7 linked regions of the Cricetulus griseus genome follow. The protein of the gene in region 2 purifies or fractionates together with the protein of the main gene of each other region. This does not show direct contact. Links are inferred from orthologs where the notes say so. Each region holds a gene or a part of one and is shown on either strand. Other genes may lie near its edges.

Region 1 (4,282 bases), on a different chromosome or scaffold from region 2:
GAAAGATGATTAAACTCTGACACAGTAGAATCTGCAGCAGATGGCCTCTGGGATCCACAGCAAAAAGGGAAAGAAAAAAAAAAAAAAAAAAAAAAAACACAAAAACAGGAGCGATATGATGGAAGTTCAGCAAAGATACATGTCTCCTTATATTTTATGACACATCTCAATTTTATATTGATTTGGGGTCTTGCTATGGAGCCTAGGCTAGCTTCAGGTTTGCAACAATCCTTGTGCCTCAGGTTCTCAGGTGCGGGGAGTTCAAGGTTAGCCTGGGCAATTTAGTGAGACCCTATTTCAAAAATTTTTTAAACATTTTGGTGTAAGATGGCTCAGTTTTCAAAGACAGTGCCTTTTTCTCAGAACCTTCTCCAACTTCACCAGCTCCTGTCTGGCATTATGATCCATCCTCCTGCCTCAATTTCAGACTAGAGGGATCCCAGGATGCACTGCCATTTCTGGCTAGGAGCCAACTCTTAAAGGCATATGGTGTGGTAGGCCCAACCTTCAGGGCAGAAAGAACAGCAAGTGTAGGACCTGCTGAGAGGGAAATGAGAGCAGGCCACGGTGACCAGAGCAGAGGTTGTACAGAATAATAGGCATCGAAGCGAGAAGGCAGCCAGGGATGTCAGGCCACAGAAAGCTAGTCTACTTTATGTTATGCTTCCCTAGGGAGGTGCTAATTGTGTGGGAAGACGTTTGACCACGCTGAGGAGCAACCCACCAGGAGTATGAATAGATCCAAGCTATGACGGGAGATGGAACTCAAGATGTGTCTGAAATTAAAATAGGCTAGTCATGAAACGAAAGAATATTTATTTATTTATTTATTTATTTATTTATTTATTTTGGTTTTTTGAGGCAGGGTTTCTCTGTGTAGCCCTGACTGTCCTGGAACTCGCTCTGTAGACCAGGCTGGCCTCTGCCTCGTGTGTGCTGCGATTACAGGCGTGCGCCACCACCGCCGGGCCTATTTTGTCTTACTTTCAATGAGCAAACAGAAATCTCCGTTGAAAAATGAGGCTTAAGATCTGTGGAACAAGGGTTTGAGCCCTGGCGGCCATCGCGAAGTTCTAGCAGCCCGGACCACGGTCTCTCGCCACCCCTCACCCTGCAGACAACCGGCACAGGGAACGAGCGAGGACACCTCCAGCGGAGGGCGGTTCAACCCGACCAAAGCCAGACAGGAGCCAGCAAGAGCCGCGGGGCATTGTGGGAGGCAAAGGGGCCGAGGCAGCCGCGAAGCATTGTGGGACACCGCGGGGCCGACTCCTGCTCCCCGCCCCAGCTTCCCTCGCACCGCGCGCCGCCACGTTTCAGTTCTGAATCGCTCGAGGCGTCCGCGGATGCCGCTGACGTAACCAGCCCCACTCCTGTCTCTCACCTCAGAGAATAATGAGGACTAAGCCAGTGGCCGTGACAAACTTCCGGTTGTGTCTTCGCTTTACGGCCCGACGTTTTTCCGCTGACTAAAAAGGAAGTGGTAGCGCCGTTTACGACAGCGCCGGTCGCGGTTTACGGCGCCGGCTCTTGCGCGCGCAACTTTCCTGCTGTCTTGGTTCCTCGGAGAATCGAGAATATCGCAGTCTCTGACCCGTGCCATCTCTCGCCATCCGGGCCTGCGGAGCCCACTGCAGGTGAGCGGCTTGCTTTGCAGAGACCTGTGGACCTCGCGAGCCACCCTGGGCTAGGCCTGGCTTCGGGGGCCTCCCGGAAGAGCCTTCCTTTACGTCCTCTCCTGTCGTCGCCCCAGGGCGGGGCGGGAATCTGCCTTGGGTGGTCCCAGGCGCGACCCTGTTAGTGCAGGACACCCCACACGGTGTGGATCCCTCACCCGATGCTAAGCCCAGAGCCGTGGGGACGAAGTGTCCTCCTCCGGGGGCTTCGAACAGTTTCCGTCTCTGCTCCGAAGTGGGCGACTGAGAGGAGTGTGCTCCACCCTGGTGTGAAACCGAGCCCAGGACTTCGTGGCTCTTGTCTGTAGTGTCCACAGTGATCCGCACCGTATTGTGGTTAGTACAGCTGTCGCATCGTTTTAGTTTTCCCCTATCAGTGACCTTCTGGTTCTCATGTGCGGAAGCCAAAGGACTCCAAACCCCTGCCCATCCGGGGAGATGATGCATGTCAAGTCTTGGACTATCTTGAACTTGTGACAACTAAAATTACAGTTGCTTTTGAGGTGGTATTGTGAGTATGTCTTAAAGGCCCAGGTCGTCAGGCTGTCCCTAACTGCAATGTAGCCAAAGAAGGCCAGGCTTAGGCAGACAGCCTTGGAAACTGCCTTTGAGATGATGGGCAGATGGACTGCTTAAGTTATGAGAGCCAACTTTCTCAGAGATGATGGTTTGAGGAAGCAGTGGTGCCTATCTATCCAGCACAGTTCCAATACTTTGCTGGGGGCTCTTATTTCATGTGAGCTGTTCAAAGGCCACACGCTCCCCCATGTTCTCTTCCTACATACAGCTTAGCATAAGTTCTTATTTGGGGATGCAGGTCCCAAGTTTATTCCTTGTTGCTGTCACCTAAATATCTTAAGCTTTCCTATGGTGGAGCAAGGAGGAGAGATTACTAAACTCTCTGGACATTGTCAGAAGGTAAGACTTAGTCTAGGCTTAGAGACGTTGGGTATTGGGTGCCCAGGTGAGAGTGTTTTTGAGGGAACTCATCTCACTTTTATCATACTTCATGAATCTGAGGTAGCTCTGTCTTATGTTATTCTAAGAAAGAAAAGACAAGATGTGACAGCCATCAAGCATAAGGCATGGCCTCATTTCAAAGATAGTCACCAAAAAAGAGCAAGTCCTAGAATTAATGAGACACAAGAAAATGTGGCTGGTGTCGACAATGTTCTGAGTTTTAAGTGTTCTTAGAGTGGTTTACAAGAAAGCTGTCCCTGCTGCTCCAGAGCCCAGGGCTCTGCGCTTTGTGTGTGCCTCTGTGGTGCAGCTTCAGTGGATCACGGAGTGTTTGGGACTTAGTGGCCTTTCCTTATAAAGCTGTTCACAATGCTTGTGTTTTAAGGTTTTAGACAATGGCGAAGTTCATGACTCCTGTGATCCAGGACAACCCTTCCGGCTGGGGCCCCTGTGCAGTTCCTGAACAGTTTCGGGATATGCCCTACCAGCCTTTCAGCAAAGGAGATCGGCTGGGGAAGGTATTGGGTCCCTTCAGCTGGGGTAGCTACTCCACAGCTCCTCACATCCTTTTTGCTCTCTTGGTGGCTATGCTTCCTTTGGGGACACCAGCCAAAGGCCAGAGCGGGTAGCTGATGCAGAAGCATCAGAGGTGAAGCTGATGACGTGTTCACTCAGCCTCCCTTGCTATCTTGAGTTTCTGAGTCAGCAGAGGCCTGCTCACCTGACCTCTTGTCTTCATCACACCTAACAGGTTGCAGACTGGACGGGGGCCACGTACCAAGACAAGAGGTACACAAGTAAGTATTCTTCAGTGAACTATCCACATTTAGGCCTTGGGAAGATTGTTGCTTTGTTCAGTGAGCTCCACACTGAAAAGGAATGCTGATGATAGTTATTGGGGTATATTTTAAATGTGTGCCCTAATATTGGTTTTGGAAATAGTCCCAGAAGTTAAATTGTTAATTATTATAGGGGTGACAGCCAGACTCCTAGACATGTTGAGTGTGCTGCCGTTTGCATTTATTGCTTGGGACTTCCTGAGGCCATCAGTCAGTGGGCTGCCCCGGTTTTAAGGTTCTGGTAAAGGAACGTGCTTTTTTTTGCACATTAAGAGATTGGGGTGGGGAGAGATGCAGAAGAGGAAGAGAGAGAGTAAAGGGAGAATTACGGGTCAACCATTGGAAACAGAGCGCAGAAAGTGCTTTTCTTGGTGCCAGTTAGATGGTTGGAAGTAACTTCGGGAATACTAAGTTAAGGTGGATGAGGTCAGAAAGAAAGTTTATCATGGTCGATGATAGTGTCCATGGCTCCTGTGATGGCAATGGTGGTACACTCCAGATTCTTAATTGTCCAAGGCAGAGGTGAAGTGGGTTAACTTGAGATGCTTGGGCTCTCTTGGTAAGTTCTTTAGACTCAAGCTCTTAAAACTTAAATGTGTGTATGAATCACCTGGGATCATGTTTAAATACAGGTTCCCATCTGTCAGGTCTGGACAGGGGCAGTAAGTCTGCACACCTCACAAGCTCTTGGCTGTGGTCCCCAAAAGTGCTGCAGGTCCCAAAACCACGCTTGAGAGAGCAAGGCTCAAGACTGCCATGTGTAGCCTTTAGGGAGCACTTAGCACACACTGTCACCTTTGCCTGCAG
Region 2 (3,500 bases):
ACCACATGTGTACTTAGTCTTCTCAGAAGCCAGAGAGAGTGATCATTTGATCCCTGGAACTGGAATTACAGACAGTTGTGAACCACCATGTGAATGGGTGCTGAGCTCACTGCAAGAGCAGCCAATGGCCTTTTTTAGTTTTGTTGAAAGTCTCACTATGTAGCCTTGGCTGGCCTGACACTCACAGTTCTGCCTGCCTCTGCTTCCTAGCTTTGGGATTAAAGATGTGGGCCACCTGGCGTGGTTAAGAGCTAGTGCTCTTAATTGTTGCTGAGCCATTTGGTTGAAGGGTAATCTCTTTGACTGACAGTTACTTGCTGTGTTAGGTGTTTATCTGTAACGAAGCTTCCCCTAAAATCCTGTGTAATTTTCCTGTGATGTGTAATAGTGACTCTTAATGAGGTCATTGCTGACCAGAAACATTGCATATGTGAAATGGACACTTTGCTAGGTTTTGACATACGTTCATCACGGGGCTGTCATGGGATAATGACTATTTCTGTTAAACTTTTCTGTCATTTATAACCACGAAGTCACAGTTTTGAGATGTTTCTAAGCTGGGCAGTGGTGGCACACACCTTTAATTCTAGCACTCAGGAGGCAGAGGCAGATGGACCTCTGTGAGTTTGAGGCCTGCCTGATCTACAGAGCGAGTTCCAGGACAGGCTCCAAAGCTACTCTAAGAGATGTTTCTATTAGGATTTCATTCTTTAGGAAACTGCGTTGCCTGCATGTACTCTGGTCCTCAAAGTAACTGACCATCTTGGGGAGGCTGCAGAACAGCTAGGACCTCAGTTCGTTTAGAAAGGTCTCAGTATACAATAAGTTTTAAAGGTGCACATGTGCAAGCTGTTTGCCTTCTTGCTCAGGTACATCTTTCTGGAATATGCTTCTCCTGCTCATGCTGTGGATGCTGTGAAAAACGCTGATGGATACAAGCTGGACAAGCAGCACACGTTCCGGGTCAACCTCTTCACTGATTTTGATAAGTGAGTTGGAGCCTGAGATCTGTGGTTGATTCCTGTGGGTGATGGGGAGTTCGTCAGTGGGTGCTGGTAGCCTTTGAGGTGATTCACTTCTGTTGGCCAAACAAGAGCATTTCAAGTTTCTGCTTTGGGCTTGGGGTAGGTGGAGAGGGTACAGTGCTGCCTGGTCATGGGCCCCCTCACCCCATCCAGCTTGTGCCACTCAGCAGTGCCTATTCTGTTGCAGGTACATGACGATCAGTGATGAGTGGGACATTCCAGAGAAACAGCCTTTCAAAGACCTGGTATGTGCTGTAAAACCTCTGCTTTTGTAGTAAGGAGAAATTTCATAACTTGAGGTTAAAAGGTGTCTGTTGAACTTGTCATCTGTCAAAGTGTGATAGTGTCAGCTTTCTTTGAATAAAATTAATTCAGTGCACTAAATCCCTTGATTTTGATATTTTTAGGGGAATTTGCGTTACTGGTTGGAAGAGGCAGAGTGTAGAGATCAATACAGTGTAATTTTTGAGAGTGGAGACCGGACATCCATCTTCCGGAATGACGTCAAAGATCCAGTCTCAATTGAAGAAAGAGCGGTGTGTACTAGCAGCTGTGTGACCTCTTGTCTCATTACAGCAGGGCTGGTTTCTGCCCGAAGGAGCAGGTGAAGGCTCTTGTTCTCTGAGGCACTTTGAGAACAGCGTGGAAACAGATTCTGAAAAAAAGAGAAGATGCTTTGTAGAAGGAAGGGTCACTGTGCTTGGCTTTTTGTCATTTTAACGCTGGTCCTTCCTTCTTACAGAGATGGACAGAGACTTATGTGCGCTGGTCCCCTAAGGGCACCTACCTGGCCACTTTTCATCAGCGGGGCATTGCCCTCTGGGGAGGGGAGAAGTTCAAGCAGATTCAGAGGTTTAGCCACCAAGGCGTGCAGCTTATCGACTTCTCTCCATGTGAAAGGTGAGTGACTCAAGCTCTCCTCTTGTTGGCCTCCTCAGGTGACTTGTAGTCTCAGACTTCACAGAAAAATTCCAGAAAGAAGCCAGAGAACTCGCCAGGCTGGCCTTTAATCCCAGCACTCGTGAGGCAGAGGCAGGCGGATCTCTGTGAGTTTGGGGCCAGCCTGGTCTCCAGATCAAGTGCCAGGATAGGCTCCAAAGCTACATTTTGCTTGCTGAGGTGTGGCCCAGCGTCTCTGCCACTGAGCTACATCCTCCCCAGCCCCATAAAACTGAGCAACTGAGCTGGGGATAATTCCCTTACATGGTTTCACCTTTCTGGGCTGCAGTGACAGAGTCCCACAGCAAGAAAATTGTCTGTATCGTATCGTGAATCTTAGGAGAGAGCCCATGCAGACAGAACTCGCTATAGTATGTGTTTATAATGGTTGCATTCTGTTCTCTTTGGTCTCTTAACTCTGCTTAACACATACTTATGGGTATGTGTATATGTACGTATAAGGAAAAATACTCACTGGACTTGGTACTGGGAGATTGTGGAATGTATCCTTCAGGTAAAGTGGACCCTTCAAGGTGAACCACATGTGCTCATTTCCAAGGGCACATCCACCACATAACCACCGTGTGTATTTTGTGATGCCTTAGTTCTAGGTAAGGCACCATGCCTGCATTAATATTTGGTGCCACAATGTCACACAGATTAGTTCTTATTCTAGTTCAGGGACTAGACATTTTTCCTAGAAGGGTTTCTTTCCCTTTTCTGAATTGGTCATGGAAAGAGACACTTGTGAAAAGTGGAGCTGGAGGAAAGCTAGAGGAGCCCACATGCCACGCACACCTAGAATCCCTGCACTTGGGAAATAGAGGCAAAAGGATTGGGAGTTCAAGGCCAACTGGTCTACATGAGACTCTATTAACAAAAAACAACAAAAATATATACTAGTTACCTGCCTTAAATTATTCCTTTTTTTTCTTTCTTTCTTTCTTTCTTTCATTTATTTATTTATTTATTTATTTTCTGTTTTTTACAAGGCGGTTTTTTTGTGTGGCTTTGGAGCCTATTCTGGCACTCACTCTGTAGATTAGGCTGGCCTCAAACTCACAGAGATCCACCTGCCTCTGCCTGCTGAGTGCTGAGATTAAAGGTGTGCGCTACCAACACCCAGAAAATTATTTCTTATTTACGTCAAAAACAAAAGGTTTATGATTCTGTAACTTAAAAGTGCCTTCCTGTTGGGCTGGAGAGATGGCTCAGTGGTTAAGAGCACTGACTGCTCTTCCAGAGGTTCTAAGTTCAATTCCCAGCAACCACATGGTGGCTCACAACCATTTGTAATGAGATCTGATGCCCACAGAACACTGTATACATAATAAATCTTTAAGAAAGAAAAAAAAAGTGCCTCCCTGCATAGACAAAGGTTGTTACATCCACTGATGCATGTTGGCCCCAGTCCTATGTCCCGTAGCTGTCATTCCCTTCACTCGGAACAATCCTTTCTTCTCTTTGTGCTGCTCTCATAGAGTGCCCTTTAATTCTTAACCACTTCACCTGTCTGGTACAAGAGAGTCCATTCCA
Region 3 (4,048 bases), about 57 Mb from region 2:
ACCCCGTCAGAGCCTTAAATCCTACATTCTCGTGTCCCCAGAGGCCTCCCATGTGATAATGGTGACAATTCTCATTTCCTAAGCTAGGCTTGGTGGAATGTAACTGTTACCCTGACACTTAAAGGTGGAAACAGAAGATTCCGAGCTCAAGGTCACCCTGAGATACACAAGTTCAAAACCAGCCTGAGCTCTGCTGTATGAGGCCAAAACAAAGGAGTGGGGGAGAAGGGGGGAGGGTGTTGGTGAGGTGGTTCCGTGTGTAAAACCGGTTATTGTACATGAAAGAACCCAAAACTCTCATATAGAAAGTATGAGCCAGGTGGTAGCGGCACACATTTTTAATCCCAGCACTTGGGAGGCAGAGGCAGGCAGATCTATGTGAGTTCAAGGTCAGCCTGGTCTCCAGAGCCAGTGCCAAGACAGCCTCCATAGCTACACAGAGAAACCCTGTCTTGAAAAACAAAAAACAAACAAACCAAAGAGTTAAATATAGCCCAGGGGCAGGGGACCCTATCTAAAGAGAATAAGTTGTAAAGTGACATGACAGAGCAAGTCACCCAATCTCCTCCTCTAGTCTGAGTGTGAATATACAGCCATTCATGACCCCGAGACACACCCACACACCTACCCCCCCCCACACACACCCCATAAGGAGAGAAGCAAAAAAAAAACTCCAGGAAACAGCAAGGAGACTCAGAGTAGAATGGCACACAACTGTGCCACTGAAGTTTCTAGGCAGGTGCAGGGCGGGCTCCCACCAGGGAGGAAGCTGGAGGATGTCCAAGAGTCACTCAGATCACAGGAACCTTAAGCTAGTTAAATGGGACCACAAAGCTCCCTGCCTCCCTAGCCTGATCTAGAGGTTGGGAAGCCATGTCTTGCTAAATGCCTGGCATGGAGCCTTGCTCTCAATGTGTTGATGTCCTTCCTCCAGAAGCCCTTGCCCCTTGCTCAGTAGAGGCTGCTTGTTCCTTCAAGTAGACAGAGCAAAGGAGTAAGAATCTAAGTCAGGACCCAGGAGGCTAGGCAGAAGCATTTAGAATCTGAATACTACACAGCAAGAGCCTCTCAAAAATAACAACAAATGGGGCTGGAGAGATGGCTCAGAGGTTAAGAGCACTGAGTGCTCTTCCAGAGATCTGAGTTCAATTCCCAGGAACCACATAGTGGCTCACAACCATCTGTAATGAGATTTGGTTCCCTCTTCTGACATGCAGGCAGAACACTGTATACATAATAAACAAATAAATCAATCTTTAAAAATAAATAAATTAAGGCTGGGCGTTGGTAGCATACGCCTTTAATCCCAGCACTCAGGAGGCAGAGGCAGGCGGATCTCTGAGTTTGAGGCCAGCCTGGTCTCCAGAGCGAGTGCCAGGATAGGCTCCAAAGCTACACAGAGAAACCCTGTCTCGAAAAACCAAAAAATAAATAAAAATAACAACAAAACAAAAAACTCAAGAGGATGGATATGTCCCAGTTAGCAAATTATTTGTCACAAAAGTACCCATCAAAGTCCAATCCCAAGCACCCACAATGAAAAGCTGGGCACAGAAGCATGTGATTGTTATCTCCAAAGGTAGAGACAACAGGCTCACTGGGGATAGGTGGCCAGCTAGTCAAATCTAATTCCTGATGACAAAAGCCCATCTCAATGCAAGAGGAATTTGCTGGAGGAATGACACTGTACACAGGAGCACACAAAAGGGGGGAAAAAAATCTAACCTCAACTACTCCTGGACCCTGAATTTCCAGGGCCTGACACTAAATTTTTAATTCTACATCAACAGGAAAGGACTTCCCAACTCCTCTGGGCCAGTCCTGGAGACCCCTCCGCATACACACACCAAAGTGAGTCAGATGGGAGGGCCTCACCTTCCTCCTGGCCACAGCCTTCGATGCCTTCCGGGTCTCAATCCTGAAGGTCCTGACAATCTGAAGATGGAAAGGGAGAAAGGACTTCCAGAACCTCAAGGCCTTCCTTCCTCACCAATCCAAACCAACACTCACAGCCCTCATCGCCAATCCAAGCGCCCCCGCGGCCACCTCGGCCTCACCTTGAACTTCTTGCCATCTTCATCTACCTTGTACTCGGTCACAGTCTTTACGTTCCCGTTGATGACTTCCTTGGGAGGTGGCAGTGGCTCTGTGGGAAGACAACAGGAACTGAGTCCTGGATAACGGGGACTTGCTGGGAACGGGCTCGAGGGCCGGAAGGGGGAGGGGACGGCAGGGCTGGACGGGGCTCACCTCCGGGCAGTAGCTCCGGCTCTGGACTGGTGTCCCCGGTGGGCAGAGGGATTCCCTTCAGGAGCTCGCTGGTGACACACTTGTCTGTCAGAGGCAATGCGGGGGCGGCGGGGGGGACGGAAAGTGAAACACACGGCTGGGACGTCCAGGCCAAGGTGTGGGTGGGTTTGGGGACTCCGGGGGCTCGGCCCGCCCCGGGACAGGGCGCGGAGGGCCGCGCACAGGCACTCACACGCACGCACTCACGCACTCACTCACACGCACACGCGCACTCACCGTCCTCGCCCTCCTCTTCCACCTGGTCGGCCCAGCTGGGCTTCGAGCTGCGGAGACACGAGAAGGGTGAGCGGGTCCCGACCCCCGCGCCGCCCGGATCACCACACACCCAGCGCTGCCCCACACCGCCTCTCTGGAGAGCCCGCCACCGCCCCGTCCTCACTCAAAGTCGCCCGTCGGCATCGCGAAGTCTAGCTCCACGCAGCTCCCAGCCCGGGTAGAGAGCGGAAGCCCGGGGAGAACGAGGCTTCCGGTGCCGCCCCTGCAGCCTAGAGCGGCCAGACCGCGGCGAGCACAGCGCCTCCCTATGGACGAAGGCGGACACGCGACTCTCGTGTGCAGCGAAGTACGGGGACCCAAGCTGGAAGGAGGTCCCAGAGAGACCGTCCAGAACTTCTTAAACTCTCCGCACCCACTTAATTTATTGTTTTTTTGGGGGGGAGTGATGGGATTAGAAGTCACTGTATCACTCTGTAGCTAGGATAACCAGCAATTCCCGACAATCCTCCTGCCTCAACCTCCGAAGGGCTGAAATTATAGGCATGAGCACCACGCACTGATGTACCGAAGGCTGGGTTTGCACTCATAGCAATCTCCCCAGTTTATTCTCTTGTGGACTGAGCCCAGGTCTTCAGGCTTGGCAGTCAGCCTTCTTAGCTGCAAAGACATCTTGCAAGTTCTACCGGTGTCATCTTTTTTTTTTCCTCCGTTTTTTATTTGAATTAGAAACAACATTGTCAACAAAACAAAACAAAAATAAAAAACACCAAAAAAGGCCGGGCGTTGGTGACACACGCCTTTAATCCCAGCACTCGGAAGGCAGAGGCACAGATCTCTGAGTTCGAGGTCAGCCTGGTCTCCAGAGCGAATGCCAGGACAGGCTCCAAAGCTACACAGAGAAACCCTGTCTCGAACCCCCCCCCAAAAAAAAGGAAGAAAGCAACAACATTGTTTTACATGTTAATCCCAGTTCCCTCTCCCTCCCCTCCTCCTCTGCCTCCCTCCCCCAAGTAACACCCTACCTATCCCATGCCCTTTCTGCTCCCCAGGGAGGGTGAGGCCTTCCATAGGGGGGGGTCATCAGTTTGTCATATCCTTTGGGATAGGACGTAGGCCCTCCCCCGTGTGTCTAGGCTCAGGGAATATTCCTCTATGTGAAATGGGTTCCTACCAGTGTCATCTTAAACTATTTCCCATACTAAGCTTTTCTCCTTCCTCAGAGCTACACCCCCTAGAACTCTGGTATAATCTTCCTTTACTTGATTCTCAGCCTCTGGGAACATGCATTCCAAGAAGTTCTTTCTTAGTTTGGGTTGCTAGTGCAGATGGAAAGCACACGCTGGGCGCACTTGTGATGACCTATATTTCCAGCACGTAGAATTTGTATTATGGAGCCGTGTGTGTGTGTGTGTGTGTGTGTGTGTGTGTGTGTGTGTATGCGCGCGCGCGCGCGTGCGTGTGCAGGAGTGCATACCTTTAATCCCAGCACTTGTGGAGGCAGAGACAGGTGGGTCTCTGAGTT
Region 4 (3,999 bases), on a different chromosome or scaffold from region 2:
ATATAATATATATACACACACACATACTGCTTGAGCTAATTAATCTGAAGCAAGCAATTGTACCTATAAATTTTAAGGAACTAGAGATCCATAAATTTTGAGGAACTAGAGATCTACTCAAGCCACAGAAAGAGCAACACCAACTTACTGCATGATGGCGCTTGCATCAAACCCAGATTCCCCCATTCCATCTACTCGAAAAGCAGATTGCTCTACTTCAATCCATTTCCGACCTCTTCCACCATCAGCTGGCAATACTGTACCACTGATGTGTTCTAAGAAGCCTGTAGCCTATGCTTCACTTACTATCTAGAAAAATGCTTACAATTTAGCAATGTAATCTTGCCAGGTGACAGGCGGGAATTGTAGACTACATCAAGTGTAAAATGTCAACTGCCAAGACGTAGAGCAAAATACATCCCTAAAGCAACACAGTAGGCTCCAACACTGCCAGGAAGGATCTAAAATGATCTCTGCAAACAGCACCTTGAACTTACTCATCTTTAATGGCTGCATTTTCTATTTTAAAGAAAAGATAAAAATTTAACTCAAAACACCAGTCACTACTTCCAAGCTGTAACCAGCTCCAAGTTTTTCCAGTCCTTGGACTGTGAAGTGCAGAGAAAAAGCACACTTGGGATACTCAAGTCACCCAGATTTGTATCCAAAGAGGCCACCAACTTTAACAAAGGCTGTCACATACAACACTGTGATACAACACTTGCTATTCAGTATGCTGCTCCAAGCACATACCACACTACACGCTTCCTCTGCTTTAACTCCCTCAAAGAGGCAGGTAATGAATAACTCACTTGGTCCCGAGACAGAAACCTACAAGCACAGACCATCAAGAAAAACCACCCTAAAATTAGTTCAAATTCCTTCCTAAGTATGAAGTGAAGCTTGGTAGACTGAAGCGACCCAATTCTACACTGAAGCAGGCTGAACAGTCAACCTGCTCCTTCCCAGGCCAGCAGCTGTGCATGTGGGTCACAAGTAACTGGGTTTCCACAAACACTAAACATTCTCAACAGTGAGTGCTTAACTGAACAGAACCGTGCAGGGTCAAAACGTTATGAAATCAGTACACACACCACACTGGAGCACTGAAAGATGTTGACTACCAACACTGAGACAACACAGAAAGGACACTTGACAGAAAACAAACAATGACCTGAGGTGACCCAAGGAGGGAAGTGTTTTTCCCTTCTCAAGGTAATCAATACAGACAAGAATCAAACTAGACTGAAATGATCCGCGGCCCTCACAGCCGAGACTATCTAGCTCAAACACTGCGACTATGTCTAAAGTCAAAAGCAGGGTGACAAACGCGTTAAGTCACAGCAAAGTGAACATCCAATGATCGTTTGATTTTTCACACAAGCACAAGGGGCGTAGGGAGGAGGGACGAATGATAAAACGTTACTCTCAGGTAACAAACACCTTGCTTGCCAGGTGGTGGTGGCACATACTTTTAATCGGAGGCAGAGGCAGGCAAATCTCTTGAGTTCGAAGCCAGCCTGGTCTACATGCCAGGGCTACACAGAGAAACCCCCGACTCGAAAAAGCCACAAAAAAAAAAAAAGAAAGAAAGAAAGAAAAAAGAAACGGAACACCTTGCTAAAGCTCCGAGGGAGCCGTGATTTCAACGTTTTATTCGGACTAAAACACCTGGCCACCAAGATTTTTCAATCAAAGCTGTCCCAACTTCGACATCATGAAATTAAAACACATTCGATACTTGAGCTTTCTCGGGAGCCCTGGTACCCTCCAGACATCAGGCCTTGGGGGGGGGAAAAAAAACGTTTAGCACAACACCAATCTTAGGAGTGACACTTCTGGGGGTGCTGGGTAATGTGAGTTAACTTCCTCTTCCTTTAAAAAGGTCAAAGACAGGGAAGAGTCCACTGTAGCATTTCCTCCTTAGCCGGTTCCACCACAAACCACAACACAACTCTAATTGCTAAAAAAAAAAAAAAAAAATAGCCAGAAGGAGTGCTTTCTGTACACTTGCACTATAGGCAGAGGACCCAACTTACCTCGGGAACGAGCTGATTCGTTTCGAACAGGAAATTTACCATTAAAGTTTACTGTGGGTTCTAAATAACAGAGAGGCCACCGAGCCCCGCAGGAAGGCAGGGCCTCCCAACAATCAGAAAAGCCTTGCCTGCAGGGCTGGTCCCAAGCCCCAGCAAATTCTGCCCAATAAAGGGGAGGGGGTCTTCAAGGGCAGGGCTCCCCGAGATCCACAAGAGCTGCAGACGCATGACCCGGGGGAGCTAGTGTTCACGGTACCGCAGAGGGTCCCGGGGTCCCAGCAAATGCTGCCACCGGTGCACCCCAAAAGCTCGGGCCAAGCCCGGAGCAACGGGCTGGAGCGGCTGGCTGCCCGTCCCTTCCCTTGCTGGGCTGTGGCGGCAGGCAGGGAGGCTCCCACCACGGGTCGTTCTGGACCGCTGGAAGGTGAAAAGGATACTGTTGGGGCGCCGGGGTCTGGAGGGCCCTGATGTTCGGGTGAGGAGGGGCCGCCGCTGCCGCTGCTGCTGCCGCCGCCGCCGCCGCCGCTGCCGCCGCCGCCGCCGCCGGGTGAGAGGCGGTACCGCCGCCGCTGCCGCCGCCGCTCCGGTGCCGGGTCCGGTTCCTGCTGCAGCCGCTGAGCCTGATTTCAGAGCCGGTTTCTGCGGTAAACTCATGGCAAAGCGAAGCCACCAACCCCCCCAGAGCGGGACCGGGCGCGCCGGGGTGCAGGGGCCGGGGGCAGCGGAGGGGCGGGATGGGGGCAGACCCGGGGAGGCGGCGGAGCGGGGGCCGGGGGGAGGCTGGGAGGAGGAGGAGGAGGGGGCCGGGACCGGTCACACACGCCCTCCGCCGCCCGCCGCCGCCGCCTCCGCCGCCGCCGCCGCCGGCAGCAGCAGCCGCCCCGCGGGCCAGCACCACCGGCTGCCGGTCTCCGTGACAACGCGACCCCGGGGAGGGGGGGGCCGGACCCGGCGGGGGCAGGAGGCGGAGAGACCGGACCTTTCACGGCAATATCCTCATGGGCCGGCGGCGGGGGGTCTCTGTCCCCCTCCCCGGGGGAAGCGGCGCCCTTCTCGGTAGCGGGGCTCGGGCGATGCGGACGGATTTTCTTCACTCAACGAGCAGAGCATCCAACATGGCGCTGCGGCCGCCTCCAGCAGTCCGGCAGGACGGCCGCTCGGAGCTTTTCGGCCCTTTTCGGAAGGGCTCGGCAGGCCGAGGGTGGAAAGCTCCTTCGGCTCTTTCCGGAGACAGCGAACGGCCGGGGTTCTTCGGGAGCTCTCGGGAGCGTCTTCGGCCGCTGTTCGGGAGAGCCGCTGGAGCTGACTATTTCTCGGGGAAGATCGGTGATCCGGAGCTGCTGAGGCTCTCCGCGGCACGGTGCCTGGGGGAGGGAGAGACCAAAGGAGAGGTATGAAGGGAGAGAGCCCTCCCCTGCGGCCCAGCCTCGAAGAACAATAGTAACGGCACCCGAGGCCGAGGTCCGCCGAGACCTACCAGAGGCGCCCGGAGCGAGAAACCGAGTCTCTGTAGAGGGACCGGCTAAGCCGGAGCGCACGGCTACTGATAGGAACCCGCCTGCCGCAGGGACTTATTAACATAACAGATGCCACTCGCCGGCACTTGACGTCGCAAGTCACGGGCATTATGTCGACACGTCGTCCTCGGATGCTCTTAAGTGCGAAATGGAACGAGGAGCCCCATTTGCAGAGGAGGCCCAGAGAAAAAAAAGTGACTTCCCCAAGGTCACCCGGCTGGAAATGAACGGAGGGAATCCAAAATCTGGATTCCACCTTCTCTGAGATGAACCTTGCCTTCTAGGATGCAAACGGATCTGCCTTACCAGCAACTTTGACCAGGACTCTGCAGGGTGGATGTCTTTCCCAAAACTGGAGGGGCCTGTGGCCACAACTTGTAGTGGGCTTCCCATCATCCTTCGCTGGGATGACACTTGATAAGGTCTCCTCCTCCCACCCCCAT
Region 5 (3,500 bases), about 9.1 Mb from region 2:
TATTGCCGATTCCACTCTGTGCTCACCACCCTACCCTACAAGTTAGAGCTTGACTTTAGAGGTCTGGGGATAGTATTAAGGATCTTGAGGGCTCTCTTTACGTTAGGACATGTGTGCCTAATGCTAGGCTGGCTATCTAGATAAAAAGAGAAAAGGCAGCTTTAGCCAAGTAACTGTTTTGTTTTTGTTTTACTCTTAGCTCTTTTATTGAGACAGGGTTTCTCTTTGTAACAGCCCTAGTTGTCCTGGAACTAGATCTGTAGACCAAGCTGGTCTCTAACTCAGAGCTCCAACTGCTTCTGCCTCTTAGTGCTAGGATCAAAGGTGTGTGCCACCATTGCCTGGCTTAGCTTTATTTTTATATGTATGTCTTGCCAGCGTGTATGTGTATGTACAGTGTGCATGTCTGGTTCCAGAGGAGGCCAGAAAGTGGCACTTGATTCCTTGGAACTGGAGTTAGAGATGGTTGTGAGCTACCACGTGGGTGTTGGGAACTGAATCCGGGTCTTCTGCAAGAGCAACAAGTATCCTTAACTACTGACACATCTCTCTGGCCCTCTGGTTATCTTTTTGGTTTTTTGAGACAGGTTTCTCTGTGGCTTTGGAGGCTGTCCTGGAACTCACTCTGTAGACCAGGCTGGCCTTGAACTCACAGAGATCCAACTGCCTCTGCCTCCCGAGTGCTGGGATTAAAGGCATGTGCCACCACCGCCCGGCTGGTTATTTTTTTGGAACAATCTTCGTCCTATGACTGACAGGCAGAAGAACGGGGACGCCTGAAAGAAGAGCTAGAAGAGGCCCGGGACATAGCTCGACGGCGCTCTTTAGGGAATATCAAGTTCATTGGAGAGTTATTCAAACTGAAGATGTTGACAGAAGCAATAATGCATGACTGTGTGGTCAAACTACTTAAGAACCATGATGAAGAGTCCCTGGAATGTCTCTGCCGTCTCCTCACCACTATTGGCAAAGACCTGGACTTTGCAAAAGCCAAGGTAGAGGTTCTGGGATGTGGGGAACGGGAGAAGCATATGGGCCCCCTGTTTGCTGACAACATACAGGCTAGGGAGGGAGTCTGGGCTGCTTAGCCAATGTGAGAGTTGAAGTATGAGGTGATTGACTTGGTCCTTTGCTTCCTAGCCTCGAATGGATCAGTATTTCAACCAAATGGAAAAAATTATTAAAGAAAAGAAGACCTCATCTCGAATCCGTTTTATGTTGCAGGATGTATTGGATCTGCGGCAGGTGTGTCTCTTCCCCCACTTCATCTGCTCTAGTTCCTGACACTGCCTTGTCTGATCCATGCCAACCACAGAATAACTGCTGTTTTCATTTTGTTTCCAAAGAGCAATTGGGTGCCTCGACGAGGGGATCAGGGTCCCAAGACTATTGATCAGATCCACAAGGAGGCTGAGATGGAAGAGCACCGAGAACACATCAAAGTGCAGCAACTCATGGCCAAGGGCAGCGACAAGCGTCGGGGTGGCCCTCCAGGCCCGCCCATTAGTGAGTTTGAGGCTAGGGCTAAGGAGACAGTGAAGCTCATGGCGGGTACGAGGGTACCCAGCTCTCCACTGATGACTTCTGTTAGTGCCACGTGTCTGGGCCACTGAGACCACATGATGGGATTGAGGATCTGAGGAAGAGAGGCTGAGGGTGGCCCAAGGAGGGGTTATCAGGACCTGTCATTCTAACATCCTCCCCACCCCCTATTTTTTGTGTCAGGCCGTGGCCTTCCACTTGTGGATGATGGTGGCTGGAATACAGTCCCCATTAGCAAAGGCAGCCGCCCCATTGATACCTCACGGCTCACCAAGATCACCAAGGTAGGGTTGTATTCTGAAGGTGAGGTGGAGGGTGAAAAGGGATGTACCATACATTGGTCCCCACAGTTAGGATGGTGATGCCTGAATTTTCTTTTTAGACTATTTAGATTGCTTGAGACTGGTTAAATGAAGGGGCTCCAGCTACAGGTTTTGTTCACATTGGTCCTAGTAAATTGACAACACCAAAATCAAGCCAAGAATGGTTTTTACACTTTAAGCGATTGAAAAAAATAAAAGGGCAATACTTTATTATGGTGTTTACAGTATGTAGAATTTGAATTACACTGTCTATGAATAACTACTGGGATATAACAACAGTTAATTCTTTATTATACTATTTTCACATTGTACTGGCAGAATGAGTAGTAGCCATAGCCTATAGGTTGTAAAGCACTAGAATATTGACTGTCCAACTATACAGTAAAATATAGTAACAGCTTGCTTCACCCCCCTGTTGAGCCCTTCAGTGTGGGCTAAGGGCTTAAGCTAGGTCAGAAGTGTGAGTCTACTTTATTCCTTCTGCAGCCTGGATCCATTGATTCCAACAACCAGCTCTTTGCACCAGGAGGACGACTGAGTTGGGGCAAGGGCAGCAGTGGGGGCTCAGGAGCCAAGCCCTCAGACACAGGTAGGAAAGGAGGCCACTATAGGAAACTGGATGGTTGCTATTTTCAGCTCCCTTTCTTCCATGGGAAATGCAGAATAAGTAATTAGGGATGAGTACAGGAGGCATATATGATGCCAGGGATTGAACTACTTCCTGTCAACATCGACCAACTATGGAGGGGGTGCATAAAGTAGTGAACAAGGCATGGTGATGCACTCTTGTAACCCTAGCTCTTGGAGGGTAGAAATGGGTTAATGCAGTTTTCTGTCTCCTTAGCGTCAGAAGCTACTCGTCCAGCTACTAGTACCTTGAATCGCTTTTCTGCTCTTCAACAAGCATTGCCCACAGAGAACACAGATAACAGGCGTGTTGTACAGAGGTGAATGTTTAAGGGCATTGGGGTGGTTGTTCTCATAGAATACTGCGATTGGGTTTTGGTTGTCATAGCATAGAGATTTCTCATACCTGTATTGCTTGGACATGTCCTTGATGCCAAGAATGAGACCCAGCAGCTGCCATACACGTTGGGTGGGTAGTCACATGAAAGTTGTTGAGCGAGTATAGATGAGAAACAACATATCTTTCAGGAGTAGCTTAAGCCGGGAACGAGGTGAGAAAGCTGGGGACCGGGGAGACCGACTAGAGCGGAGTGAGCGGGGAGGTGACCGTGGGGACCGACTTGATCGTGCCAGAACACCAGCCACCAAGAGAAGTTTTAGCAAGGAAGTGGAGGAGCGGAGTAGAGAGCGGCCTTCCCAGCCCGAGGGACTGCGCAAGGCAGCCAGCCTCACAGAAGATCGTGGTCGGGATCCTGGTGAGAAGGAACGGGGGAAGGCTGGCAGAGGAATGGGGGCAAAGGCTATTGGGCTGTGGGACTGAGTGCTCCCCAACTTTCTTTGAGAGCTCTAGACTGTAAGATGAGTAACTGAAAAGTTCTTCTCCTGTAGTGAAGCGGGAAGCCACTCTACCTCCGGTGAGCCCTCCAAAGGCTGCACTCTCTGAGGATGAAGTGGAGAAGAAATCTAAGGCCATCATTGAGGAATATCTCCATCTCAATGACATGAAGG
Region 6 (3,500 bases), on a different chromosome or scaffold from region 2:
GGGGGCTGGAGAGATGGCTCAGAGGTTAAGAGCACTGACAGCTCTTCCAGAGGTCCTGAGTTCAATTCCCAGCAACCACATGGTAGCTCACAACCACCCATTATGAGATCTGGTGCCCACTTCTGGTGTGCAGGTATACATGGAAGCAGAATGTTGTATACATAATAAATAAATAAAATCTTAAAAAAAAATTACTACATGGTAAAGTTGTACTAAGACTGACAGGAAATCCAGAAGCCATGGGGAAAATGATATTTGCCTACATAAATATTAAAATTTTTAAATCCAATCCCATACAATTCCAAAGAACCTAATAAAAGTAAATTGGAACTGCATTTGCTGATTTACTATTCCTGCTATTTGAGTAACTGGAAATCAACTCGAAAGATAATCCAAAAGGAAAAAAAAAAAAAAAGATATAGGTAAAAACCCAGAACAGACTCTCCAAAGAGAAAACCACAAGTGACCAAAAGAATATGAAAGTGCTCTCAAGCACACAGTAAGAAAAGCGGACTTCCCACTTCAGACTGGCACCCATCTGGTCATAACAAACAGCTCACGCACAAGTGGGCACATACAACAGCACTGCAAGGCACCCCACCACCGTTAACAAAGGGGAGGAAGGCAAACATACTACCTTTATACACTGTCCCCACTCATTACTAAATCCTCTAACTGTTAAGTGCTTATAAGAACATACAGAAACCACAAAATTTACGAAAAGTCAGTGATGGTTTTAGTACCAAATAGCATTTATAGTATTTTCCCAACTGGCATACTTTGCAAAATAAAAAAAAAAGATTAGAACTTAGAGAAATTGTAATCTCTTGAGATCTCACGAGGATTGAATAAATCTGTTTACACTTTTGCATGGTCTCAAATTTCTCAGCAGTCTGGTGTGCTGGGTTACTCCCCTCCTAATGACAGCAAAGCAGTAACTGGGTTCAGACAGCTAAAAGGAGTGTTAGCTGTGTATGCACATGAGTGTGTTGGCCTGTGTGTATGTCCATGGACGAGTGAAGGTGGGACTGGATGCCCTGAAACTGGAGCTACTGATGGTCATGAAAAGCCATCTGAGTCCTCTGCAGGAGCAGCTCATGCCTGTAACCATGGAGCATCAACCCCTAGAGTTAGGGTTTTAAAATGCCATAAAAAGGGCAAAAACTATGCTATCCCCTTGATGGTGAAATACGACAATAAATTACAAACAGGCTGGCAGGCTTTCAAATAAACTCAGTTAAAAAAAAAAAAAAAAAAAAAAAGATCTGCTTTTGGTAAACAAATATGGAAACCAGAAAGGAACTCGACCCTCAGAAGTCAGTTCCAGTGTTACTTTTTTCCAGGTTCATGTACATTTCAAGTTTCCATTTTCTTCCCACCATCAGTAAAATAAAAATGTTTTTCATTACATAATCTGAAAACCCAGTAACTAAACCAGAAACATAGGTAAAGCTAGAGAACGGTATAACAAACCACCACCCATCTTCCGTTACACCGCTCATTTGAAAACTTGCCTTAGTTCCCCTCCCTCCTCCACCTGGTCTGCATGGGCCACCTCCTCTAGCCTTCACAAACCCCATCTCTCTCCTTTCTCAATCTGCCTTTGTTTCCCATTCTTGCTTCCTAATATGTCTTATCCACTTTTCAAATGCTCCAACCTCTCATTCCTTCACCTACACTTTACAAAAAGCCTTCGCTGAAGTCAGCAAGGAGTTACTTCAGTGTGCAGCCCAAGGGAGACTGTGACACCTTGAGTAAGTCTTGCTCCTGTATCCCTTGGCCCCCCACTGTCCTGTCTTCATGACCATATCCTTCAGAGGCTTCTCTTCTCCTCAGCGAAGATCCTTTGTGGGCTGACACCTGAGCATATACATCTAAAAGGAGGCACACCTCATCCTTCTGTTGAAACCTAGCTGTGCACCACCCTTCTTACCTCTCTCAGAAAGCAGCTTACCTGTTCTGTAGAGGGTGTTTGATATAGTGCTCTGGGTTGGCAACCTCCTGATTAGATTCTGTTTTTTCCTCTTCCACAGGTGGGGGATTAGTAGTAGGGGTGGTTTCCTAGTGGAAAATAATAAAGTAGGATTTAAAAAAAACTTTAAACAAAACCAGGACAGCAATACTATAAGCAAGTTTGATACAACGAATAAGAGCAGATGATTTCACAAGATTGACTACAGACCAACCCCTGGGACAACCAGACCACTTTAGCTCTTCATTAAAGCAGAAAGGCTTCTCAAATTTAAGTGATTTTTATAAAACTGTAGATACACCCCCCCTATTTGCACATTTTAGGTCATCAAAGATTATAAATAAAGGTAATGGCCCCTCCAAAGCTAGCTCGAGAATCCATCTCAAAAAACAAAAACAAAACAAAACCAAAAAAGAAAAAAAAATAGCCCAATTTTCTTAATATGTTAAAATATTATAGAAGGGCGGTTTAGTGTGTTCAATTCCTAGGTCCACAAAAAGAAAGGTAAACCAGTACTCTATATTATGGAGGTAGACTGTGGAAAGGTTTAAACTATTATTTTGCAAGTATAACAACTATGTTGATACAATGAAAACAATTAGAAAAAAACAAAAACAGACAAACAAAACAGCATTTCAAGTGAGCAAGCCAGCAGTACAGAAGTCCTTCATAAATTCATGTCAGACTCACTGCTTGACACAACAGCTGTTTGGAATTTTCTGTGGTAATATATTATTTATGATTTATTAAAGCTTGCCTGTGGTTTCAGAAAGCAAAGTCAGCCACAAGCCATAGAAGCCAGGCACACACCTTTAATCCCAGAAGCTAGGAGGTAGTGGTATACATCTTTAAAGGTAGATGATCTGTGAAACTAAGGCCACCCAGATCTACACAAGATTGATCCAGTCCTAAAGAGAAACAGCTTACACAAAGATGATATCAGCACCTGGGATCACACACTTTTAATCCCAGCATTAGGGAGGTATGTAAGACAGGAGCAAGGTCTCAGTATCAGGCATTCATTCTCCAGCCTCATGGAAGATAGGAAGACATTCAGACTTCTACAGTCACGCTGAGGAAAGGCAGCAGGATCAGCCCATTCAACCTGAGGTAATGGTAACAGCTAATGGCTTGGCTGTTTTGTTTTTCTAATCTTCAGCTTCAAGTCTGAACCCCAATATCTATCTCTGGGTCTTTTATTTTTCGTGATAAAATTTTCAACAGGTAAGGCATAATTAATATTGTCATTGCAACTATGAAAAGGAGCCTGGGAATAATTTAAAGCATTCACCACTGTGCCCTTTGCAGTTCCTCAGCCTGCTAAAAACTGACCTTAACAGTTAAAATAGCCAAAGTCAGTCATTAGAAGCTAAAACAAATGCCCGAACATGTATGTGCACGCACACAGGCACTTCAACAATACAATATTTTTTATTGAACTTATATACTCTTCAGCATTGAGCATCAAGCCTAAGGCCTTGTATGTATAAAGCAACACTGAATTATACACCCAGTCTAACTACCAGCT
Region 7 (3,992 bases), on a different chromosome or scaffold from region 2:
TCCCGAGACCTCCATATGAGAGGCATGAGCATCACACAGCACCTGAGGCTGACCCAGCATTGAGCTGAGCCCAGAGCAGGCACCTGGTTTTTTTTTTTTTTTGGATGCCCCGACCTGCCCTGCTCCCCAGCCTTCTCCCATGCCACCAGAAGGAAGGATACATGTGCCTGGTCGATCATACATTTGCACAGAGTGAAGTCAGTGTGGGGCAGGTTGGTGAGCGCTTTCAGCAGAATCTGGGCAGTAACCGTGGTCTGAAAGAAGGCTGGGTTGAACTGGTACCTGAGGAGAATGAGACAAAGCAATGATGGCATCTTGCAAAACTGGCTATAGTGGCGTACAACTGCAATCCAGGGACCCAGGCAGGTTGCAAGTCTGAGGCCACAGGCATGTGTACACACACTACACACACTCACACACACACTGGAAGAAAAGGCCACTAACCCAGCACTGACAGGAAGATGCTAGGAACAGAGCTTGTGCTGCATGATTACAACTGAGCTCAAAGCAAGCAAGTCTGAGCTAAACTGATCTGGATGCAAGCAAGTACCCAAAGCCAGACCATACGTAAGAGTTCCCAGTGGTTACCTAAGGTGGGAGTTTGGTAGGGCAGGGCATGTGGCAAAGGGCCAGTAGCACTAGCAACAGGGATATTCATTTACAGTAATTTGTGAAGCAATAGAATTGTTTATAGATTATCTTGTATGTTTTGACCTTCTTGGCTTCCTGGTTTACACACCTAAGAGAAGCCACACACTGCAGCTTGCCATGGGTACATCGGCAGCCAGGTCCCTATCCAGAGTGGCATCCTGCTAGCTAGCAGCTGGCATGAGGGTGGAGAGGGGACAGACACTCACAATTTCAGGACAGCTAGGTTGGCCTCCAGATCATAAGCATTCTCCTTGGCTTGGGTTTCCACATACCGCTCCAGCGTCGCCAGGTTCTCAGGATTGTACCTGGAAGGGAATCATGATGATTCGTGAGCCACCTGGCATGCATTTCATGGGGGGGGGGGGTGTACAGACACACAGGATGAGGATGGACAGAAGATGGACTTTATAGTGAAAACCTTCCTCAAAAGGAAAGAGGGAGATAACGTGACAAATAGATATGGGTAAACAGAGAGAAGGAGGAGGCCAGTCCCAATATAGGGCTACTATTGTAACCTGAAATCACTCTCTTCCTTCCTACAGCTTTAAATCTGGCCCCGGGGTCTTCCTCCCTGTATTACCTTTTTAAAAATTCTTTCCCATTCGATTTAACAATAAATAATAAAGCTAGTCTTATCCACTAGATATACCCAGAGAACTGACCAACTGTACCTTCTCCAATAAACCCTGCTCACAACTCAGCCCTACTGGAGCCCTGGGCCGTGTTTAGGGTGCGTCCAACCTTAGCCAGTCTCTGCTGCCTGTATATGTGACTTCCTGAACATCTACCAGTATCCTCTGGGAACTCCTGACTCAGTTCTATTCTGCCTAGGTTAATACTCGGCTTGGCTCTGGCCTGGCCCTGATTGCTCCTTGCTGTCACTACTTTCTTTCTTTTTTATTTGAATTAGAACAAGATTGTTTTACATGTCAATCCCAGTTCCCTCTCCCTCCCCTACCCCAGCTATGACATATTCTTTCTGCTTCCCAGGGAGGGTGAGGCCATCAGAGTCTATCATATCCTTTGGGATAGGGCCTAGGCCCACCCCCTTGTGTCTTGGCTCAGGGAGTGTCCCTCTATGTGGGATGCGCTCCCAAAGTCCACACCTATGCTAGGGATAAGTACTGAACTACGACAGGAGGTCCCGTAGATTTCCAAGGTTTCCTCACTGAAACCCATGTTCCTGGGGTCTGGATCAGTCCTATGCTGATATCCCAGCTATCAGTCTGGGGAACAAGACCTCCCCGATGTTCTGTGGGTTTTGCCAGCCTGGTCTGGACCCCTTTGCTCATCACTCGTCCTTCTCTGCATCTGGGTTCCAGTGCAGTTCAGTGATAAGTTGTGGGTGTCGTTTCTACTTCCACCAGCTGCTGGATGAGGGCTATCGGGTGGCATATAAGTCAGTCATCAATCTCATTATCAGGGCATTTAAGGTAGCCTCTCCTCTGTTGCTTAGATTGTTAGCTGATGTCATCTTTGTAGATCTCCAGACATTTCCCTAGTGCCCGATTTCTCTGTAAACCTAAAATGTCTCCCTCTATTATGGTGTCTCCTTTCTTGTTATCTTCTATTCTTCATCTGACTCTACCTTTCTGCTCCCTCATGTCCGCCTCACCCCTCCTCTTCTCCGCTTCTCATTCTCCTACATCCGTCCCCTGCTGTCACTACTTTCTGTTGAGCGGGGTTGTCGCCCGGTTGGAGCGGGGACCTAAGTCCGGGGAAGCGGGACCGGTGGCTGTCCCCATCACCTCCGGTTCCCAGCGGCCTGGCAGACACCAGGGACCCTTACGTTTGATGGCTGGCAAGAAGAGCAGGGAGGAGAGAGCCTGAGAGGCCCCGAGAGCCTGAGGCGGCGGTGACAATAAAAGGGACGGAGGTGAGACTTGGCCGAGCGTGGAGCCCAGGCCACCACCCCTGCTGGCTCCCCGTCTTCTCCACCCCGCTTGGCCAGAGCGCGCCCTGCAGCCGAGCTCGGACCTGTCGATACCCTTGAGCAACTTGCCCACGTTCGCTCTCATCTGCTCAAACATCGCCATGACCTCCGTCAGCTTCCGCGGCCCCCGCCGGAGTCGAACCCCAAGGCCCCGGCGCGCCGCACCGCACCGCACCGCACCCGAGGGCCGGAAGGAAGAGAAAGGGAGCACGGGAAGCGGAAACACGTCACGCCCTGTCTCCCGCGGCCTCGGGGAAGGCGAAGGGAAAGGAGCTTCCGGCAGCCGCCTCGGCTTTCCGGCTAGCACGTGATTCCTCCGCAGCCGCCGCCGCCGCCGCCGCCGGGTCGGGCGTGAATGGACCCGACGGCGTGAGAAAAGGTTTCGTCCGCCGTACTACGCAGGCGCCGGGAGGCGGGGCCGAGCCCGTTCCCGGGCCGCGGAAACCTAGAGCCGAACGCTGGGGTTCCGGGCGGGCGCGCCGGCGCTTGCGTAGCCCTAAGCGCAAATAGCCGCGCCAGGGGACGCAGCGGCGCCCACTTTGCGCTCGGACGGGGGCGAGGTGCTCTCTGAAGCCCGTCTTGCCCCCCTGAAATGGCGTCCAGTACCCTAACTCACTATTAAATCCCCGATCCGTGGTGCCACCGGGGAGCACAGCGAACGGCTGCTGCGCTTGCCACCCTGGAGTCTCTCCCCATCGGGCTCCCGATGGGGGCCACTAACAAGCGCCCCGTGTCTGCCCCAGACTCCGCGTGCTTGAGGCTCGATGCACCAGTGTGTGCCACGTGGGCAGCTGCCCCGAGCGCCTTCCCATTGGTACACACGGGAACCCAAGACATGTGCGCCTCACGGGCCCTGTCGCAGGCGTGCAGGAGCTGTCACCTGAGTGGCCTGAGGAAAACAGGCCTGTGTGGCGCTTAGGTAGCTCGGTGTGCAGACCTGCAGCCTCTGGCTTGGCTCCAAGTCTTCAAGTGCCTAGCAGAGGTTCAACTGTAACGTGTGACTGACTCCTCCCAGAACAGGAGAGCTGGGAAGAGGGTGCTAGGTCAGCCCCAGGTTGCAATTAAGGTCTTTTGCATCTTATTTACATAGTGCACTTGAGGGGGCAAAGGGGAGTCCCACCAGTCCCAAGGCAATCAGGCTTTCAGAACCCTAGGGACAGGGGTGGAGCCCTCTGCACAGCCTCGCAGCTGGGGCAGGAAGCGAGAGTGGGGAGGGGGAAGGCCACAGCCCGCAGAGTTCAAGGCGGGCCCAGGACTTGTGGAGACAGAGGGTGATACCAAAGCTCGAGCCCTGAGGCCCTGCTGGCCCCTGGGCACCGGCCCAGCCCCGGGCTCCAGGGATGGCCCTTGTTGACCCCGACATCTTTAATAAGGACCCCCGAGAACACTATGACCTATTGCAGCGACT

What was found.
Region 1: the proteins of Eif3b (region 2) and Eif3d purify together in Homo sapiens (affinity purification with mass spectrometry; 10 studies listed by BioGRID and IntAct, with this or other methods). This does not show direct contact. The link is inferred for Cricetulus griseus from reciprocal best matches to the Homo sapiens genes EIF3B and EIF3D.
Region 3: the proteins of Eif3b (region 2) and Eif3g purify together in Homo sapiens (affinity purification with mass spectrometry; 12 studies listed by BioGRID and IntAct, counting the BioPlex papers as one, with this or other methods). This does not show direct contact. The link is inferred for Cricetulus griseus from reciprocal best matches to the Homo sapiens genes EIF3B and EIF3G.
Region 4: the proteins of Eif3b (region 2) and Eif4g3 purify together in Homo sapiens (affinity purification with mass spectrometry; 3 studies listed by BioGRID and IntAct, with this or other methods). This does not show direct contact. The link is inferred for Cricetulus griseus from reciprocal best matches to the Homo sapiens genes EIF3B and EIF4G3.
Region 5: the proteins of Eif3b (region 2) and Eif4g1 purify together in Homo sapiens (affinity purification with western blotting; 7 studies listed by BioGRID and IntAct, with this or other methods). This does not show direct contact. The link is inferred for Cricetulus griseus from reciprocal best matches to the Homo sapiens genes EIF3B and EIF4G1.
Region 6: the proteins of Eif3b (region 2) and Eif4e purify together in Homo sapiens (affinity purification with western blotting; 5 studies listed by BioGRID and IntAct, with this or other methods). This does not show direct contact. The link is inferred for Cricetulus griseus from reciprocal best matches to the Homo sapiens genes EIF3B and EIF4E.
Region 7: the proteins of Eif3b (region 2) and Eif3k purify together in Homo sapiens (affinity purification with mass spectrometry; 7 studies listed by BioGRID and IntAct, with this or other methods). This does not show direct contact. The link is inferred for Cricetulus griseus from reciprocal best matches to the Homo sapiens genes EIF3B and EIF3K.

Annotation. Positions count from the first base shown.
Region 1 is NC_048595.1:375,067,495-375,071,776, reverse strand, and holds the start of Eif3d (eukaryotic translation initiation factor 3 subunit D), read left to right. Parts: upstream 1-1,482; 5' UTR 1,483-1,637; intron 1,638-1,753; exon of another isoform or gene 1,754-2,012; intron 2,013-3,021; 5' UTR 3,022-3,031; coding exon 3,032-3,154; intron 3,155-3,387; coding exon 3,388-3,433; intron 3,434-4,282. UniProt on the Homo sapiens protein: mRNA cap-binding component of the eukaryotic translation initiation factor 3 (eIF-3) complex, a complex required for several steps in the initiation of protein synthesis of a specialized repertoire of mRNAs.
Region 2 is NC_048597.1:77,058,642-77,062,141, forward strand, and holds part of Eif3b (eukaryotic translation initiation factor 3 subunit B), read left to right. Parts: intron 1-869; coding exon 870-989; intron 990-1,212; coding exon 1,213-1,270; intron 1,271-1,432; coding exon 1,433-1,561; intron 1,562-1,767; coding exon 1,768-1,925; intron 1,926-3,500.
Region 3 is NC_048597.1:133,768,270-133,772,317, forward strand, and holds the start of Eif3g (eukaryotic translation initiation factor 3 subunit G), read right to left. Parts: upstream 2,801-4,048; 5' UTR 2,710-2,800; coding exon 2,690-2,709; intron 2,574-2,689; coding exon 2,527-2,573; intron 2,335-2,526; coding exon 2,251-2,334; intron 2,147-2,250; coding exon 2,058-2,146; intron 1,936-2,057; coding exon 1,876-1,935; intron 1-1,875. UniProt on the Homo sapiens protein: RNA-binding component of the eukaryotic translation initiation factor 3 (eIF-3) complex, which is required for several steps in the initiation of protein synthesis.
Region 4 is NC_048595.1:15,353,412-15,357,410, forward strand, and holds the start of Eif4g3 (eukaryotic translation initiation factor 4 gamma 3), read right to left. Parts: upstream 2,801-3,999; 5' UTR 2,477-2,800; intron 2,425-2,476; exon of another isoform or gene 2,082-2,424; coding exon of another isoform or gene 2,040-2,081; intron 1-2,039. UniProt on the Homo sapiens protein: Component of the protein complex eIF4F, which is involved in the recognition of the mRNA cap, ATP-dependent unwinding of 5'-terminal secondary structure and recruitment of mRNA to the ribosome. Functional homolog of EIF4G1.
Region 5 is NC_048597.1:67,966,473-67,969,972, reverse strand, and holds part of Eif4g1 (eukaryotic translation initiation factor 4 gamma 1), read left to right. Parts: intron 1-758; coding exon 759-995; intron 996-1,140; coding exon 1,141-1,245; intron 1,246-1,346; coding exon 1,347-1,506; intron 1,507-1,569; exon of another isoform or gene 1,570-1,644; intron 1,645-1,725; coding exon 1,726-1,826; intron 1,827-2,351; coding exon 2,352-2,454; intron 2,455-2,709; coding exon 2,710-2,812; intron 2,813-3,020; coding exon 3,021-3,247; intron 3,248-3,380; coding exon 3,381-3,499; intron 3,500-3,500.
Region 6 is NW_023276806.1:21,031,942-21,035,441, forward strand, and holds part of Eif4e (eukaryotic translation initiation factor 4E), read right to left. Parts: intron 2,062-3,500; coding exon 1,955-2,061; intron 1-1,954. UniProt on the Homo sapiens protein: Acts in the cytoplasm to initiate and regulate protein synthesis and is required in the nucleus for export of a subset of mRNAs from the nucleus to the cytoplasm which promotes processes such as RNA capping, processing and splicing.
Region 7 is NC_048602.1:6,869,409-6,873,400, reverse strand, and holds the start of Eif3k (eukaryotic translation initiation factor 3 subunit K), read right to left. Parts: upstream 2,801-3,992; 5' UTR 2,688-2,800; coding exon 2,629-2,687; intron 2,554-2,628; exon of another isoform or gene 2,441-2,553; intron 957-2,440; coding exon 858-956; intron 283-857; coding exon 162-282; intron 1-161. UniProt on the Homo sapiens protein: Component of the eukaryotic translation initiation factor 3 (eIF-3) complex, which is required for several steps in the initiation of protein synthesis.